Linked DNA regions of Mytilus edulis. The protein of the gene in region 1 binds, or shares a complex with, the protein of each later gene. Links are inferred from orthologs where the notes say so. Each region holds a gene or a part of one and is shown on either strand. Other genes may lie near its edges.

What was found. The genes of interacting proteins can lie anywhere in the genome.
Region 2: the proteins of G-protein-signaling modulator 2-like (region 1) and protein inscuteable homolog are in contact, whole or in part, in a crystal structure (PDB 3RO3), measured with the Mus musculus proteins. The link is inferred for Mytilus edulis from reciprocal best matches to the Homo sapiens genes GPSM2 and INSC. Residues at the interface, in NP_083798.2 of Mus musculus: Asn210, Tyr213, Leu214, Phe218, Arg242, Ser246, Asn247, Asn250, Ile253, Phe254, Tyr265, Gln283, Tyr286, Ser287, Asn290, Thr291, Thr293, Leu294, Arg323, Trp326, Ser327, Asn330; in XP_006507722.1 of Mus musculus: Val72, Asp73, Ser74, Val75, Arg77, Trp78, Met79, Asp81, Leu82, Lys83, Leu84, Met85, Thr86, Glu87.

The regions. Positions count from the first base shown.
Region 1 is NC_092345.1:1,970,399-1,978,229, reverse strand, and holds the start of G-protein-signaling modulator 2-like, read left to right. Parts: upstream 1-4,545; 5' UTR 4,546-4,655; intron 4,656-7,831. Other genes in the region: pre-mRNA-splicing factor SYF1-like, read right to left, coding at 398-521, 932-1,080, 4,193-4,231. UniProt on the Homo sapiens protein: Plays an important role in mitotic spindle pole organization via its interaction with NUMA1. Required for cortical dynein-dynactin complex recruitment during metaphase. Plays a role in metaphase spindle orientation.
Region 2 is NC_092353.1:81,276,839-81,285,360, forward strand, and holds the start of protein inscuteable homolog, read left to right. Parts: upstream 1-5,332; 5' UTR 5,333-5,431; intron 5,432-8,522. Other genes in the region: uncharacterized protein, read right to left, coding at 18-179, 941-1,093. UniProt on the Homo sapiens protein: May function as an adapter linking the Par3 complex to the GPSM1/GPSM2 complex. Involved in spindle orientation during mitosis. May regulate cell proliferation and differentiation in the developing nervous system.

The DNA.
Region 1 (7,831 bases):
CATTTTATAAAATGCTGTAAACTATTTGTTAATTCATAAACATGATAAAAGCCTGAATCATACATGGAGACATTTTCCCCCTGGCATTTCACTAAATGCCCAAATTCATAAAATGCCAGTAACATATAGATTCTTACAATGATATCAATAGATTATCAGATTTATCTAATCGAGATAGTTAAATTATCAATTTTAAAGTCAAACCCTGGCGAGGACTTTAAAATTTATAATTTAACTATCAAGATTGGATATATCCAATAATCCACAAGTAACTATGTAAGAATCTTTCTCTTCAACGTTTAATAAAATAATTTTTATTTTTTGTTAAAGAAAATCCTCTTTGAGGATCTTCCACATTCAATACAGTTGTCAATTTCATTAACACCAGTTAGCATACCTTATGCATGAACACTAGCGCCCTCTCGTGGGCATTGCATACATCCTCTACGGCTGGGTCATTTATACACTTCCCTTTCACTTGTCGTCTCCGTAGTTTTAAATAATTGTACCATAATTTGTAGCTGCAATGTAAATAAACAAAGGTAGTCATAAAGGGTCATACAAATATATGAAAACAAATTACATGAAGAGTATACAGTACATGTCAAATTGTCCATTTACAGTTGTTTCTCAGTAACAAAATATCACAAGAGACTGTTACAACTGAAGTTTTCTTAAGAGGTCTAATAAGTTGAAGTCTTGCTTAGAGATTATGTACTTTTTTTTTAATAATTTTTAAGTAGATGAACAACATAATTTATTCACTCTTTTTGCTAACGAAAATATATCAAACTTCTTATTGAGAAATCAACCATCAAATTAGCTAAAAACATGAATGAAAAAATTGCCTGTTATCCAAAATGATTTGGGTATGAAGTAAGATATATAAGTAATTAGTAATTAATGATATTATTAATTGTTAATCATTTACCTTCCTGGCAATTCTTTCAGAGCTCTTTCATATATCATATTAACAACATTTCTTGAAGCTAGTTTCTTAAACTCTAAGTAACGAAGCCAACATTTAACAGAATATGGGTTTCGTAAAATATCTTCTTCATATGGTAGATCATCTTCTTCCTAGAAAAAAAACCAAACTAAAACATTTGCAATTTTTGATATTATATTATCAGTCAGGGGACTTACTTAAATAAGTGATTTTCTAAATCACTGGTTCAAGTAACATTATTTCCATAAAGGTTGGAAGCAAGAGTTGTCTTTCTTTAATAATCACCTATTTAAGTAGTACAAATTTATCACTAGACTAAGTGATTTAATTTCATTGTAGCTTTAAATATAGAATACTAATGATCCAGGGACTAATTATGTTTCTAAACTTATCAGAACAATCATCTGTGCTGTCTAGGATGATCAGGTCATTTCAGGTGATGACCTTGTACTGAATCTAGGATAATGACATAAAAATCATCTGTTTAAGTATCATACCTCAATTTTCTTCCAAAATATCATATTTTGATAACCCCCACTAATTTCAACACCTCTGAACAGTGAAATTTTTATCGCGAACAGTAGAATTTTATTACATAATCTGAAAGATGAAACCTTGAACTTTACAGGAAAAATACTCCCACTGCTGGGGAAAATCTGTTTAGAAAGTATCAGTTCATTATTTAAAGCCGTCATTATAGCATTTTTTCAACTAAAATAGAATTTGCAACTAAATGATAGCATCAAAGGCATAAACCTTGCTACTAAAAAGAAGCAAAAAATTCATGTTTTTCAATTTTACTAATGAAAAGATATTATTTAAACCTATGTGTTAAAAATTTTGGTAAAACTACAAAATCACACAAAATTTTGAATTTGCTACTCAAATAAGTGATTTAAAAATCACTTTTTTGAATAAGTCCCCTGACTGATTATTTTCTTTGCTATAATTCAATTCAAGCTATTTCCCTTTTTGAAAAGACTTTGAAAATCTTTGAAAATCTGAAATAGTCCATTTGCCAATTTTTTATTCTGTTATTACACACCTTTTTGTATATATATTGTGTAAATGTATGCCTATCGTTGTGTCTGTTATAAAAGCTTTAACACATTCGTGTGATGAGTCAACCAACTCTTTACGGATTACCCATGTAGATGTAGATGTCAAGGCCGTAGCGCCTGTCTATTTAAAGTGAGGCAAATCGCCTAGCGGAGCGAGGTGACCAATTTTTTTGCCTTTTTTTAAGGGGCATTCTGGGTGCCTGAAACGGGAGAAGCTTATTTCAGCATTACTATTTAAAATAAAAAAACAAAAAAAAAATAACAAAAATGCGGGTTTGTTTTATATTAGCTAGCCTAGTGAGTAACAAAACAAGTTTCATATTAAAGTTAATCTATGTTGGTCAATCAAAACTTTCCGATTCTCCTGTGACCTGTACTATCGAAAAGCTTCAACACACGTTCTTATGTATATATATTTATTTATGTCCAACAGCAAGTTATAAGCTTCTTAAAGACTAGAACATGTTATAAGCATCAATTAGGATATATTTATTATACATAATCATTAACCATAAGAATAGGTAGAGAAGACTAGATCAATATTGTTACTTAACCGGATTTTTGACGTTCTAATGTCACAAGTGATCACAAGTTATCTGTAAACATTCCGCTGGAAGACATATCAACCTACATGTACATTTTTACCTGGCCACATTATTCTACCAATTTATAAGTCATTGGTTTGACCTACCGGGGTTTGAACCCACGACCTACCGCAGTAGCACGCTAGCAAACAACAAGACAATGCTGATCATAATCAGAAAAAGAACCACAAAAAAAATATTTTCAAACAATACCAAAAATATATTTCATACTTTTATTAAAGATAAATAAAAATCATGAACTGCCTTATTCATTAAAGACTTCCATAGAAAACGCGCTTCATGATTTTGTTTAAATTAATTATAAATAATTATTATTTTTTTGGTCAATGAATTATTTTATCGATTAACATTTAACAGGCTATTATTTGAACTTGGAATTATTTTTAATTATGGAATTTGCTTGATATCTTGTTATTGAATTTTTTTATAAATTCCATGTTTATTCTGTACTGAAATGCTCTGTGCTGCGCACAACACTTTCTATTACAAAGAAAATACTATATTTTCAATAGAATGTACTGTGCCGCGCACAACACTATCTAACCAAAATACATTGTATGGAAAGTTTTATTAACCGCTAAAAAGATTTTAATACCACATTAACATGGAATTTATTAAAAATTTTAAACACAAGAAATTATGCAAATTCCATAATTAAAAATAATTCCAAGTTCAAATAATAGCCTGTTATTTGTTGTTCAGTGAGTTGATAGTGTAAACATTAGCAACTATAGCTTTATCAATTTAAAAATAAACCAAGTAATAAGCCAGCATACTTATAGGGGGTGTTTATACTCATGAGTTACCCTTTTAATCTTTTTTTCTCTTTAAAGAACCCGTCTTCCAACAGTTTTGTAACGACATTAAAATTTGTTTCAAATTTTTTATTTTGATTTGTATTCGGAACATTTATTTTTTTTACCGTCACCTCTATGGTAAAAGCTGCAATCGCTGCTGCCGATTAGACACACTGTATGTAGTGTGCCAGTAGATAATTTGTAACTCGAAACTCGCATATTGATAATGTAAAATACATAATTTAAAAAAAAAGACACTTCTAAAGTGTGGTCGTCGTTTCAAAAGTGCCAACAACCGCTTGTATGGGGACGAAGTCCCCAATAACAGTAGAAAATTCAATAAAAATTTTTTCATTGTACTAATGAACTCAAAATCGTTCAAATTTTTTTGTCGTGTTTTGAAATCCCGAACCTGCGCAGAAATGTACTTCCTTTTTCCGGTCTCGTTTGTATGAAACTTTAAGTAAAATATATATTTATCAGTCTAGTATAAAATAGGAAGGAACGCGCAATACCAATTTCATTTTTAATAATTCCTTGATATGAAAAAACGTTACCTGATGATAGCGTTTCTTTGTTTACATTGCATATGACGTCATAATTTAAATAACGTCACAACTAAAATCCCTAACAACAGAACCAAAATCGGAAACGTTACGGTATTTCCGTTTCTTTTTTTTAACAAATATTTAAGTTACAAAAAAACAATTCATACAGACTTCGTCCCCATTTCAGTACAGGTAATGCCTGCCTCATATTAACTTGAAAAGGGTTATTTACAAAGAAAATATCTTTCTGTTTTTCCATCAGTACTGGCATCCTTTCTTTTAATGTCTTAAGTTGAATAATATTTTCTCAGTATTTCTTTTCTTTTAGTTTTAAGTTTTCATGGGCGCTGACATATTGGATCGTATAAAATGCGTTGTGTGAAATTTTAAAGGGGTGTATCAATTTGTGAGGCAAAATATTTAAAAAAAAATATCGAGACCAAATTGATATACAAGCAAATATTTGTTTAATAATGAAAACAAACTGTATCTTACAATTACATTTTCCTAATTCTAAAGATAAGCATCAAAATTAAGAATTTAATATAGGAACCTAGCCCCCCTTAGTATCATATGGAATATCCCATCTACATTAATCTCGTTTGTTACGAGAAATGATTAAACTTCCCTCCATCTAAACAATTCTGGAAAAAAAGACTAAGAGGATTAGGAGATTGTCGGTAAAAATATAAATGGTAGGTATTTAGGTGTTGTCATTCCCAAATTGTAGATGTCTTTGTTTTTTATGTGTGTCACAATTTGACAGTTACGCTTCATTATAGTATATTTAATTTATAGATCAATATATATTGCAATTGATATTTTTGTCTGTTTTTTTTTGTGAAATTGAAATCCAAATTTGCATACAGCTGCATTTTGATATCTGTGGGTTACAGTGATGATTGGCCCTATTGACAGAACAATGAAAGAACCAAAATAAAAAAAAAATATGCTAATAACAAATTTGAAACATTGTGAAATATAATGATAATAAGATTCTCTCATAATTTTATACTTGAGAAAAAAATATAGAAGAAAAAAATAAATACATGCTTTTGAAAAAACATGACCTGACCAAAGCCGACAATAGAAATATTTACACTCATATACTAATTTGTCCCCCATTATGTTCCGTAACTTTGACATCACAATTCAAAAGATTTGACGTCAAAATGTAATTTGGAGCAGATCTAAGCTTAATAAGCTTAAGCAGATCAGAGCACCTGAGATCACCCCTAGTTTTTGGAAAATGACGCAGTCATTGTTCCATTACTGGCGACCTGAACTTCATTGCATTTCTCTGCCTACCGCGCTTGGTTTCGTATTTACTATTTTCTATACAAACTGGAATTTGCTTGTGTTATCATTATGCATGAGAGGTCATTGTGTAGTAATCAGCCAGGAACCAGTTTACAAACTAACTGGTTTCTGCTTGTATTCCACTACACTCGAACAAAGTGTTGTAGTTTGACGGGAACCAGTTTAGAATTTGTAAACTACAAAACGTAATCGGTTATTGTTCATTCCGTTTTGGTGTTTCATACCGACTTTTATGGTTTGAATAAGCTTAAGACCCTTCAAACATTAATGTGATAGGTATATTAAAGACTGTTTTACAAAAGGATGGAACTGTTTTGCTTTCAAATCGTACTATAGTGATATCTGTTATGTACGGATTTCCACTCTCACCGGTTAATTTCTTCTTTTACACGTGCTTTTGAAACTTCCTGTTTAAACATCGCAAGTTTTAAAATTGTTTTTTGAGTGAATTTAACTTATTTTAACAATCATGAAGCGTTCCAGAATCATTTTCAAGCAGTTTCTTCTTCTCTTTGATGATGGAAAATATGTTTTTCTCAAGAAAATACCGCAAACGATCGCAGAGGAATTGAAACGTACAAGTCAAGTCGGCACCTGGTTAAATTGGCATCTAGTCAAATCGGCACCTATTTGACGTCAATTCGGCATCCAATAATATTTGTTATAATATTTTCTATTCAATTAATTAATAACTGTTACCAAGTACATAGTGAATATGTTGTTGTGAAGTTAGGTAAACAACGAAACCAAAGTGAAATTATGTTGTTGTGTATAAAGGTAAACAACGAAGCCCTTACCCAAGCTGTTGTTTTAACAATTAGACAATTATTAAAATAAAATGGAAAACTATGAGTCCCTTTCAATAAATCAAACTTTCATGCCAAATAATAAGCAAATTTAAGGTGTTTTTTTTCTTCAGTAAAGTTTAAAAAGCATTAAACAAACAATCCTGTAAAATGCTCAACTGGTTTAAATAATGCATAAAAATATCCAATATCTCATGTATTAGTCCAAATAATTATGACGTCTGGCAAGGCTATTTTATTTTTTTTCTGTGATGTCTTCCTACGAAGTTCGTAGGAAGGCGTCCCAGAAAAAAATTAACATAGCCTTGCGGTCATAGAAAGGTGTCCCAGAATAAAATTAAAAAAGCCTTGCCAGACGTAATAATTATTTTGACTACTCATATATATATCATTAAAAATACACCAAAAAAGTCATTAAGTTGAGAAAAATAAATATATACAAAATGTACATGAACACCCAAAAATGTGAAAGTTAGTATTTAACTCTTTTTGCTTAAATACTGAAAAAAATTCTGGCAACCCCTTACTTATTTTTACTCTTTTTGCTTAAAATACTGTTAAAATTTATATTTAACATGGGTGACGAATTGACTATATCAGGTGTGGATTTAACCAGGTGCTGATTTGTCCAGGTGCCAATTTAACCAGGTGCCGGTTTGACTAGAATTCTTTGACAAATGTTTGAAATTACCTGAGTTTCATAAGACCTTTGATAACAGTAACAAAAAGATTATTTACTTAATATTTTGTGGGAGAAGGGGGTTCAGACTATGTGGTATCATGTCTGTTCCCGCCCAATACACTTTCGCACCCTACACGTTCGCACCTCGCACGTTCGCACCCAAGGTCCGTTTGCACTCTACTCATTCGCGCCCAATTTTAATTCAAATTCAAGTTGAATAATTGGAAAATCATGATTGTTGTTTTAAATTGCTTTGGTGTTAATACTGAATGTATTTATAGCTTGGTATGAGTAAAACATTGAAGATTTTAAAGGAAAAACACAAAAGATAATTGTTTTTAACAGCTTGGTCCCTTTGATCTGAAACAACGAAACAATAAAATATAGGAACCAAAATATAGCAATCCACTATTATAACCAAAACAAAGCAACCAAAACATGATTAAGAGTAATTCAACACAAAATAAAACGTTGACAAAATACCACTTTATTTAGAAAGGATTATTATAATTTTTAACAATACGCTATCTAAAACATGATTAAGATTTATTCAACACAAAAAAAAATGCTGTCTCACTTTATTTTGAGACAATGACAACAATTATACTTATAAGAAAACACTTGCTTACAGAGTTATTAAACACAAAACCAATTAAGATTGGGTGCGAACATGTAGGGTGTGAAAGTGAAAGGGGCGAACATGAGTGGGCGCGAACGGACCCGGATTCAGACTATGTACCAGTGAGAAATATACAAGCCTTTCTACGGTATTTATTTGTACAATTCAGGTAGTCTTGACCTATTCATTTGTCTTAAAAAAACAGCCAGTTGTCACCTTCACTTCACACACACACACATATACGAATATTAATTATATGCTTACGAGACATGTTGCATTGTTAAACTAATTACGGTATGTGAAAATCAAGACTTGCATAAAAACTATCCCAATATTAGAGACAGTGGCGTCATTTTTCTTCAGAGCTTTCAGCTCTTTGATTGATGGGGTTTGTGTTGCTTATTCTTTAGTTTTCTATGTTGTGTCATGTGCTCTATTGTTTGT
Region 2 (8,522 bases), on another chromosome or scaffold:
TTAATTTCAGCTAATACCTTTAATCCTCCTTCTCCTTGGGGCTGTGAATTAGCTTTCCTTTCAGCTTCTTCTCGTTTTTGTTGTTTTCTCTTCACATTTTCAGGATCTTTAAGTCCTCTTCCTTCGGTAGCTTTCTGTCTTTGCTCTGCTGCTGCTGCTTGTTGTCGTCTCTTTGTTTCCTAGAGGTAAATATCATCTACATATAGAATACTGTTAATTCAGACATATATATAGACATTCAATGGCTAGAGGTATAGGGGGAGGGTTGAGATCTCATAAACATGTTTAACTCCGCCGCAATTTAGTGCCTGGCTCCTGACCTTTGTTAGTCTTGTATGATTTTTAATTTTAGTTTCTCGTGTATAATTAGTATGACGTCCATTATCACTGTACTTAAGTATACATATTTTTTAAGGGGGTAGCTGAAGGACGCCTACGGGTGCGGGAGTTTTTCGCTACATTGAAGACCCATTGGTGGCCTTCGGCTGTTGTCTGCTCTATGGTCAGGTTGTTGTTGCTTTGACACATTCCCCATTTCCTTTCTCAATTTTATAGAAAATTTAATAAAACCCTGCATATATTAAAACATTCAAATTTTATATATAATTTTATGAGTTTTCAGAAAAGCAACTGGATTTTAGCTTTCTAGACCTATTAGTTTTAAATACAATTGTTTATAAAACAGGAAATAATAATACAACGAAACCTAGTCCAAATAATTATGACGTCTTGAAAGGCTATTATAATTTTTTTCTTTGACGCCTTACATCGATGTAAGGCGTCAAAGAAAAAAATTATAATAGCCTTTCTAGACGTCATAATTATTTGGACTAAACGAAACCATGAAACACGATTCGTCAAGACCCTAAAAGCTAAAATTTGAGCTAAACGTCCTTTTCAACTCATAAAGATGTGTGTCATTATTGAGAAACATATTTACTGGTGATGGCTGATCATAATCATCAGATTGTCCTCCAAGACAGGGCAAACAAAGTCCCATATTTAGGAAACCTTTACAAAAACTCCAATATCCTATGTTAGGCTGTCTGCATTTTCGACCCAGATAAAAGCTTACTAAGAATATTCCTTGCATGATAACTTTTAGGTATGACTAAACACCAAACCCAAAATTTTAAAAAGAAAAGCGTAACAACATTTCTAATTAAAATATTTTCTACAAGCAGGGCTATGATAGTTAAATAATAATTAAAACATTCAACAGATGAAACAGTATAACGGTACGTACATGAAAATTACATTTGACACTACGTTCAGAAAAAATAGAAGGGTTACATGAAGTACAGCTATGTCGTTTGCCTGTCAGACATCATCGCATTTTCCATGTGTTTATTTGGTCGATTTTATTAAAAACCAGCGAGTTAAAATTAGACAGTGGCTATTTGACCGGCACCGGCAAAAGAGAAGAAATGCTATTTTGCCGGCTCTGATTAAAATATATCTCGCTGGAATTAAATTGTAAGAATAATAATTTTAAAATATTAAAATTAAAATTTATATTTAAAAACTTGTGTTACTGTTAGACTCATATGAATACTTTGAAAATTGAATATGACACATGAGGAAAGCATTTGATAGTTAAACTCAAAGTAATACTGTAGATGCTACTTATAAGACAAATAATCTGAATATGCCACTCTACTTAATAATCAATGGTGATAGGAATGGACAAAATGAAATATTTGCTATGTTCTTGCTTACACAGGAGGAGGAATCTAAACTTCAACTAGTTATTTAACAATTCAAATTAAAGAATGAAAACTAAGAAAATATACGGGCGATATAAACTGACAAAGACATGACCGAAAGAAATGTTTTGGGGGAAGCTATACCTCAAGAATAGCTGCAGTTGTGTTTGTTTCATGTTTTACGGAATTTTAGACGATAAGTTTCAATCGAAAAATTGGGGATAACAGTTGGTGAGAAAATTCAAGCTATTTGTCTTTCTATATTTCTCAAATGAATAAACTGGATATAAATATGAAGAGTTGGTTACACGAAATTGCAAATGTTAAATCGGTGTCCATTTGAAATTCGTAGCAAACAACTTTTAAAAATGTCTGTTTTATGATGTTGGATAACAGGGTTCTTATATAAAATGGTTGTTCAAACTCCGTTCATTCAATATTCTATTGACAATTCTTTTTATACATCTTTAAAAATGCATAAAGATGAAAACAGTCTTAACTTTCTACATTTAAAAAAGGTGAATGTCTTTTGTAAAAACCTGGTGCCAATCTGAAAATAAATCACAATGTTGATACAGGGGCGGATCCAGTCATTTTGTAAAAGGGGGGACCCGGCAACCCAGAATAAAAAGGGAGTGGTTCCAACCACATGTCCCCATTCATATGCATCATGATCTTTCAAAAAAGGGGATCCCCCCGCCCCACAACTAATATATAAAGCGACAAATTAACCACCTTTAAATTCTAAATCAATTTGAACAATATTACAAAAAATGTACAATATTCACCAAAATTGCATACATTGTATAGTTTATATAGAATAGTAACTTCTACACACCCACTATGTGCTTTTGAACAGGGACTTTCTATACTAACTATACTATTCGTCATTATAGTCTTGTTTTACGGGGGTTCCATAAACGACAAGTCTAGGGTTCTTTGACATCACTTTATACCCCGTTAAACAAGACTATTATATTAGTGTAGAAAGTCCATGTTTTGAATTCATGTCCTTTAGGCCTATGTATTTTTGTATAACAACTTAAGGCAGCCATCACAAATGTACACTGTGATGTGCACGTCACTGTAAGCACAGAATGCATTCTGACAATGTCCCTTTTTTTGATAAAATAAATCGTTCAGGGACTACCACGCTTTGAAAAGAAATGAGCTTTAAATTCTCGAAAAATATATGTAATTGTAGATAGAAATATTATCGTTACGTCTGTATTTAATCGGTGTCTAACATAACATTACATTAATTCAGTCTTGCAATTGAATGTAGTCTTTAACGTAACAATATTTCGTTTATTTACGATTAAAACAGCGTAATCGTAGCCGTTTCCTTTAGAATATGTTGTAAAATTTAAAAATCTTTTTAAATATGAAATGTATCTCCCTCATGTATAGATCCAATATCCCCTGTCAGTTTTGGTTTTAACTTTAAACAGTTATGTGGTTTTATAGTAGCCAGGACTTCGGTACTGACATGACAATGAATTTTGTTTTATTTTTGTTTTTATTGTATGCCAAATGTAGCACGACCGCCTACAAGCAAAAAAAAAATAAAAAAAAACAAGAAGGTGTGGTACGATTGCCTATGAGACATGGGAATAGTATATCAATATATATGTTCCTGATGAGACAACATGGCGTAGAAATTTATATTGTACCAAATCCTGTTTGGTCATATAGCTCTTCAACAGTTTAGGTTGTAAATTATAAATTCATGGTTTTCAAATATTCGGCTTTGAGATTTCCCGATTTAGGTAAATCCAGAAAAAACGCTTCAGACGTATGAATTATTCAACGTATTGTTCTCATTTTCTCTCTCTCATTAAAATCAAAATAGCTACGAATTTAGATCACAAGCAGGAAACAGTAGCTATGTAAGAGTGAATGTTTTATGAGATAATATATATACCTATGTGTTTTTTCAAGTCATCTAAATGATCTATCACACTGGCGTCCATGACCTGACCTCTGTATATCTAAAAAAAATAAATAACCCTGCCTTTGTAGAGAAACAGTCATAGTCTTTCATATCGTTGAACGATACTCTGTTTATATCATGATAGTGTTGGTACTCCCTCCGTCACTCAAAATCATATTGTTCATTTACAGTATCTATACACAATTCGAATACAAATCTTTTCAGTAATACAATTTAGAACAATCATCCTACTAAATTGCAGCTATAAATACTCATGTACAAAATTTTCAAAGCAATGTTATAAATCATAAACCAGTATCATGCAGAGTTACCGAAGAATGCAGTTATAATGACTGTTCGTCTACGATAGTAGAGGGGCTTTATATTTTCTGGTCTGCGGGTCCGTTCGTCCGTTCATTCGTCCGTCCGTTCGTCCCGCTTCATGTTAAAGTTTTTGGTCAAGGTAGTTTTTGATGAAGTTGAAGTCACATCAACTTGAAACCTAGTACACAATTGTTCCCTATGATATGATCTTTCTAATTTAATTCCAAATTAAAGTTTTGATCCCAATTGCAGGGTCCACTGAACATGGAAAATGATAGTGCGAGTGGGGCATCCGTGTACTATGGATACATTCTTGCTTTTGACATGTTTATAAACTTCCGACCCCTTTTTGAATTTCAATTCCTTGGAGTTCCATGTTTATATTAATACTTTTTGGCATATTATGGCTCTCACTTTGGGTAAACTTTTAATGAAATGTAGCAAAAACTTTGACAATAAAAAATCTAAATTCGTAAAGGAGAACCCCTTTTATAATAATAGTCAATATTATAGATTTCACGTATTAGAAGATACAGGTATGGATTTGGATGCATTGAAGAGTTATTCCTTACCTAATGGTGACACAGCATCAGCGTGATGATATTTTTCCGTTGCTGATTGACGAAAGAAGATATAACTAGAACTGTAAGAGAGAAAATATCAAAATTGAAGCTTTGCTATTAAAAGCTAGTAAATGATATCAAATCAGATATGAAGGACAGCAGAAAACTCACTATCTATAGATAGTAAGACAAAACAATACTAGAGACATACACACATCTAAAAAAAACATCTAATGTAACTGGTATTTGAATAAAAATAGCCTTGGGAAGGGTAGAATGTGTAGGGTGGGAATGGGTTTTGGGAGCGAACGGACCCGATACGGTTCAAGATCCTGTAATTCTTTCAGAACAAAATATTAATTAAGTAAGTAATTATTTACTATAGTGACATGTGTATCACAACATATATTTATACAATTTATTACAGATCAATTTGATATATAATAACTCAGTTTTAATTCTTTTATAGTATTTACCATGTGTTTCTATGGATTATATGATATTTCAAATATGTGCACTTTTGTTCTTCACGATGCGTTGTTGTTTTAAAATATATATGGTGTATCTTGTCAGTCTTCATACGGTTCTCTGTAGGGACAATCCGTTATTGTATCACATATCCAAACTTGTGGAAGTATGTTTTACGATTGTAAGTTATGTCACACTCATGTTTCACATAATTTGAATGCTTTTGAAGAATTCTTAAACCACATACATTCAGAAAATGTTACATTTTAAGTATTTTTTTCATTTCTAACATTAAAAGTTAACGTAAACAATTTTACATAAAATCTTCACTTTACCGTAACATCATTTGTTTATGTGGAAACCAGTGAAACGTGAAGAAAATCGGATCAAATTTTGTAAATAGTAGACATATTTTGGGGATTAATACACGAGGATGAGTGAGTATATTCTAATTTTTCAATTGAATTAGTACATATTTAAGAAATGTGCTCTTTGTTGCGTAAGAAATCATGGATTTCGGGTACAAAAAGTTTTCATAAGGAGGAAGCATAATTTTCTTCAAGAACAAGGAAACATTTGTATCATCTTACAAAAAATAAAGATTTTCATGCCATGTGTGTGTACAAGAACAGTGGCGGATCCAGCCATTTAAAAAAGGGGGTCCCCGTACGGTATCGGGATCGTTCGCCCTGATTACATGTTCGCCCTAGGTTCGTTCGCACTGAGTTTGTTCGCCCTGGTAATCCGTTCGTCCTGGGTTTGTTCGCCCTATTTTTATTTATGATATGTATATGTTATATATTATATATTTTATGTTTAAAATTTATAATGAAAGAAATATATATTTATATATATTAAAATTTATGTATATCTATTAAAAGTTAAATACAGAATATTAATTAAATAAAATTCTTGGCTGCATTAATTGTAACACTTTATTTTATAATTACGTTTAATTACTGTTGATTGAATTTTGATTGCTGATTAGGTATAATTTGAAATCTTTGATATCACTGATTGGTATATGAATTTGATGGTTAATAATGAAAATAACATTTTTCTCAAATAAAATAGTCAGCTTGGATGGGTAAAAACATTGATGTACAAATTGCTAGGCATGACAGGGAAATTATTTTCGCAGCTTGGCTTCTTTGATCTCAAGTGTGTTTTGACAAATTTGTTATATATGGAAGTGGATTATGGAACCGGTTTATCATTCCATAAACTATGGAAGTGTACATGTGTATTTCTTGTGACAGAGAGGTCCGACCTCGTCAACATGCAGTTTCTTGTTATAACTGTTACTGAATATTTTTATATTGTTAAAATGTATCAATAAAGTTAAATATATAAATAACTTAGTCTTTAGTTGTTTCATGTCAAATACTTTGTAGTCTTTCAATTCACAGAAACTTATCCTCGTAGCAGCAAGACAACATAATAACTTAGTACATTTGAAAATACAATGTAGTGCTGATTGAAATTCACAAAATCTTATTTCCTAGTAACGTAATTACATACAGATACTAACTTAGTTCTCAATACCTTGAAGTCACAATATCTTGTAGTCCTATAATTTACAGGAACTTATAACCTAGTAGCAGCTAGCTGTCGACAACATAATACACCGAAAATATTCGGCGAAATTGTAGGCCGACTTTAACATATATATTCAATTAAATACACACAAAACAACACTGTACTAAAAAATAAAAATCGTAAATATTCGGCGAAATTGTAGACTGACTTCAACATATTCAATTAAATACACACAAAACAACACTATAATAAAAAATATAAATCAGGGCGAACATACCCGGGGCGAACAGGTATCAGGGCGAACGGTCTCAGGGCGAAACGGAACTAGGGCGAACAGTAACTAGGGCGAACAAAAATCAGGGCGGACGGACCCGGATTCTCCCCGTACCACCCCCTGGATCCGCCAATGAAGAAGAATACTATATTTATTAAAATTACCCTAAATGACATTTCTTTAAAATAGAGACTAAAGATACAAAGGCTTTTAGCAATGTTTAGGGGGAGGGTTGAGATAAAAATAAAAAACATGTTTTAACCCTGCCAAAATGCACCAGTCCCAAGTCAGGAGCCTCTGACCTTTGTTAGTCTTGTATGGTTTTTAATTTTAGTTTCTTGTGTATATTTCAGAGTTTAGTACGAGGTCCATTATCATTTAACTAGCATACATTTTGTTTAGGGGCCAGCTGAAGCATGCCTCTGGGTGGGGGAGATTTAAGCTGCATTGAAGACCCATGGTGGCCCTTGGCTGTTGTCTGCGCTTTGGTCGAGTTGCTGTCTCCCTGACGTATTCCCCATTTCCATTTGCAATTTTGCAATTTATTATTATTCAAACACATAAATCAAAAACAAACTGAACATATGCCATGTTAGTCCTAATAATTATGACGTCTGGCAAGGCTTTTTTAATTTTTTTCTGGGACGTCCCAGAAAAAAATTAAAATAGCCTTGCCAGACTTCATAATCATTTGGACTAATGCCATGTATGCTGAAATGGCAAAAAAACAAAAAAAAATACAAATACATGGATGCTTCTAGTACTATATAGTTTAGGGTGCACTAAATCGGCCATTGGCCCAACAAATTATGTGAATATAAAAACCCAAGTGAGTGCTTTTCTAAATATGAAAATTCATGTAATTGGCCAGTTCAATTTGAAATCCATTTGAATCAAGGTAAATCTATAAAGATGACAGAAATGTCTCATTCTCCGTCTAGTGGTCTTATACCATTCTTTAAAAGAATCCAGTCTTTAGCCAGGAAGAAGAAGAATTAAAATCTTACTTGGATTAAGTTATGCATATACCATGATATATATATACATGTATACATTGCATATATTATACTTTTCCAGTTTGCAGAACTTAGGAAAATAAACTAACACACAAATTTCATTTGATTCAGTCAACGTTAACTCAGTAATCAATGGTTATACATGTACAGTTTAAATCACATATTGTTTGCAGGGGTCCATCTACATGTACATGTCTTGCACTTTTGTCTATTTAAATCAATTTAACTCGCAACATTAATAAAATGAGGGGATGTTCTTAAACTTCTTTTTCAACTTAGTTTGTTTTAGCACCTTCTGCAGAAATGTAAAAAATTAATAGCAATATTCTGGGAAGTTTTTTAATATTCTTAAACTCAAAATGCATTTTAATTTTAAATACATGTATCTAGGTCCAGACATTCTCCAAACCTTTTCCTAGTGCACAGGCTTGTCTGTACTCAGAGTGATATTTTTTTGGTGTAAATACGGCCATATTTGCTAAAAGTTTATGATAAACTTAATGTATATATGTTCTTTATATAGACTTTTTATTATAAATGCTTACCCCGTAAGCACAGATTTTGAGTCTTACCATACAAATCCTTGGCTTAAACATGCTTAAGCAGCACAGAAATGTACATGTACATTGATTCATCAAACTCTGTAGACCATCTTCTGAGGGATATTCAAACTAATATATAATGTAGTGGTTAAACTTC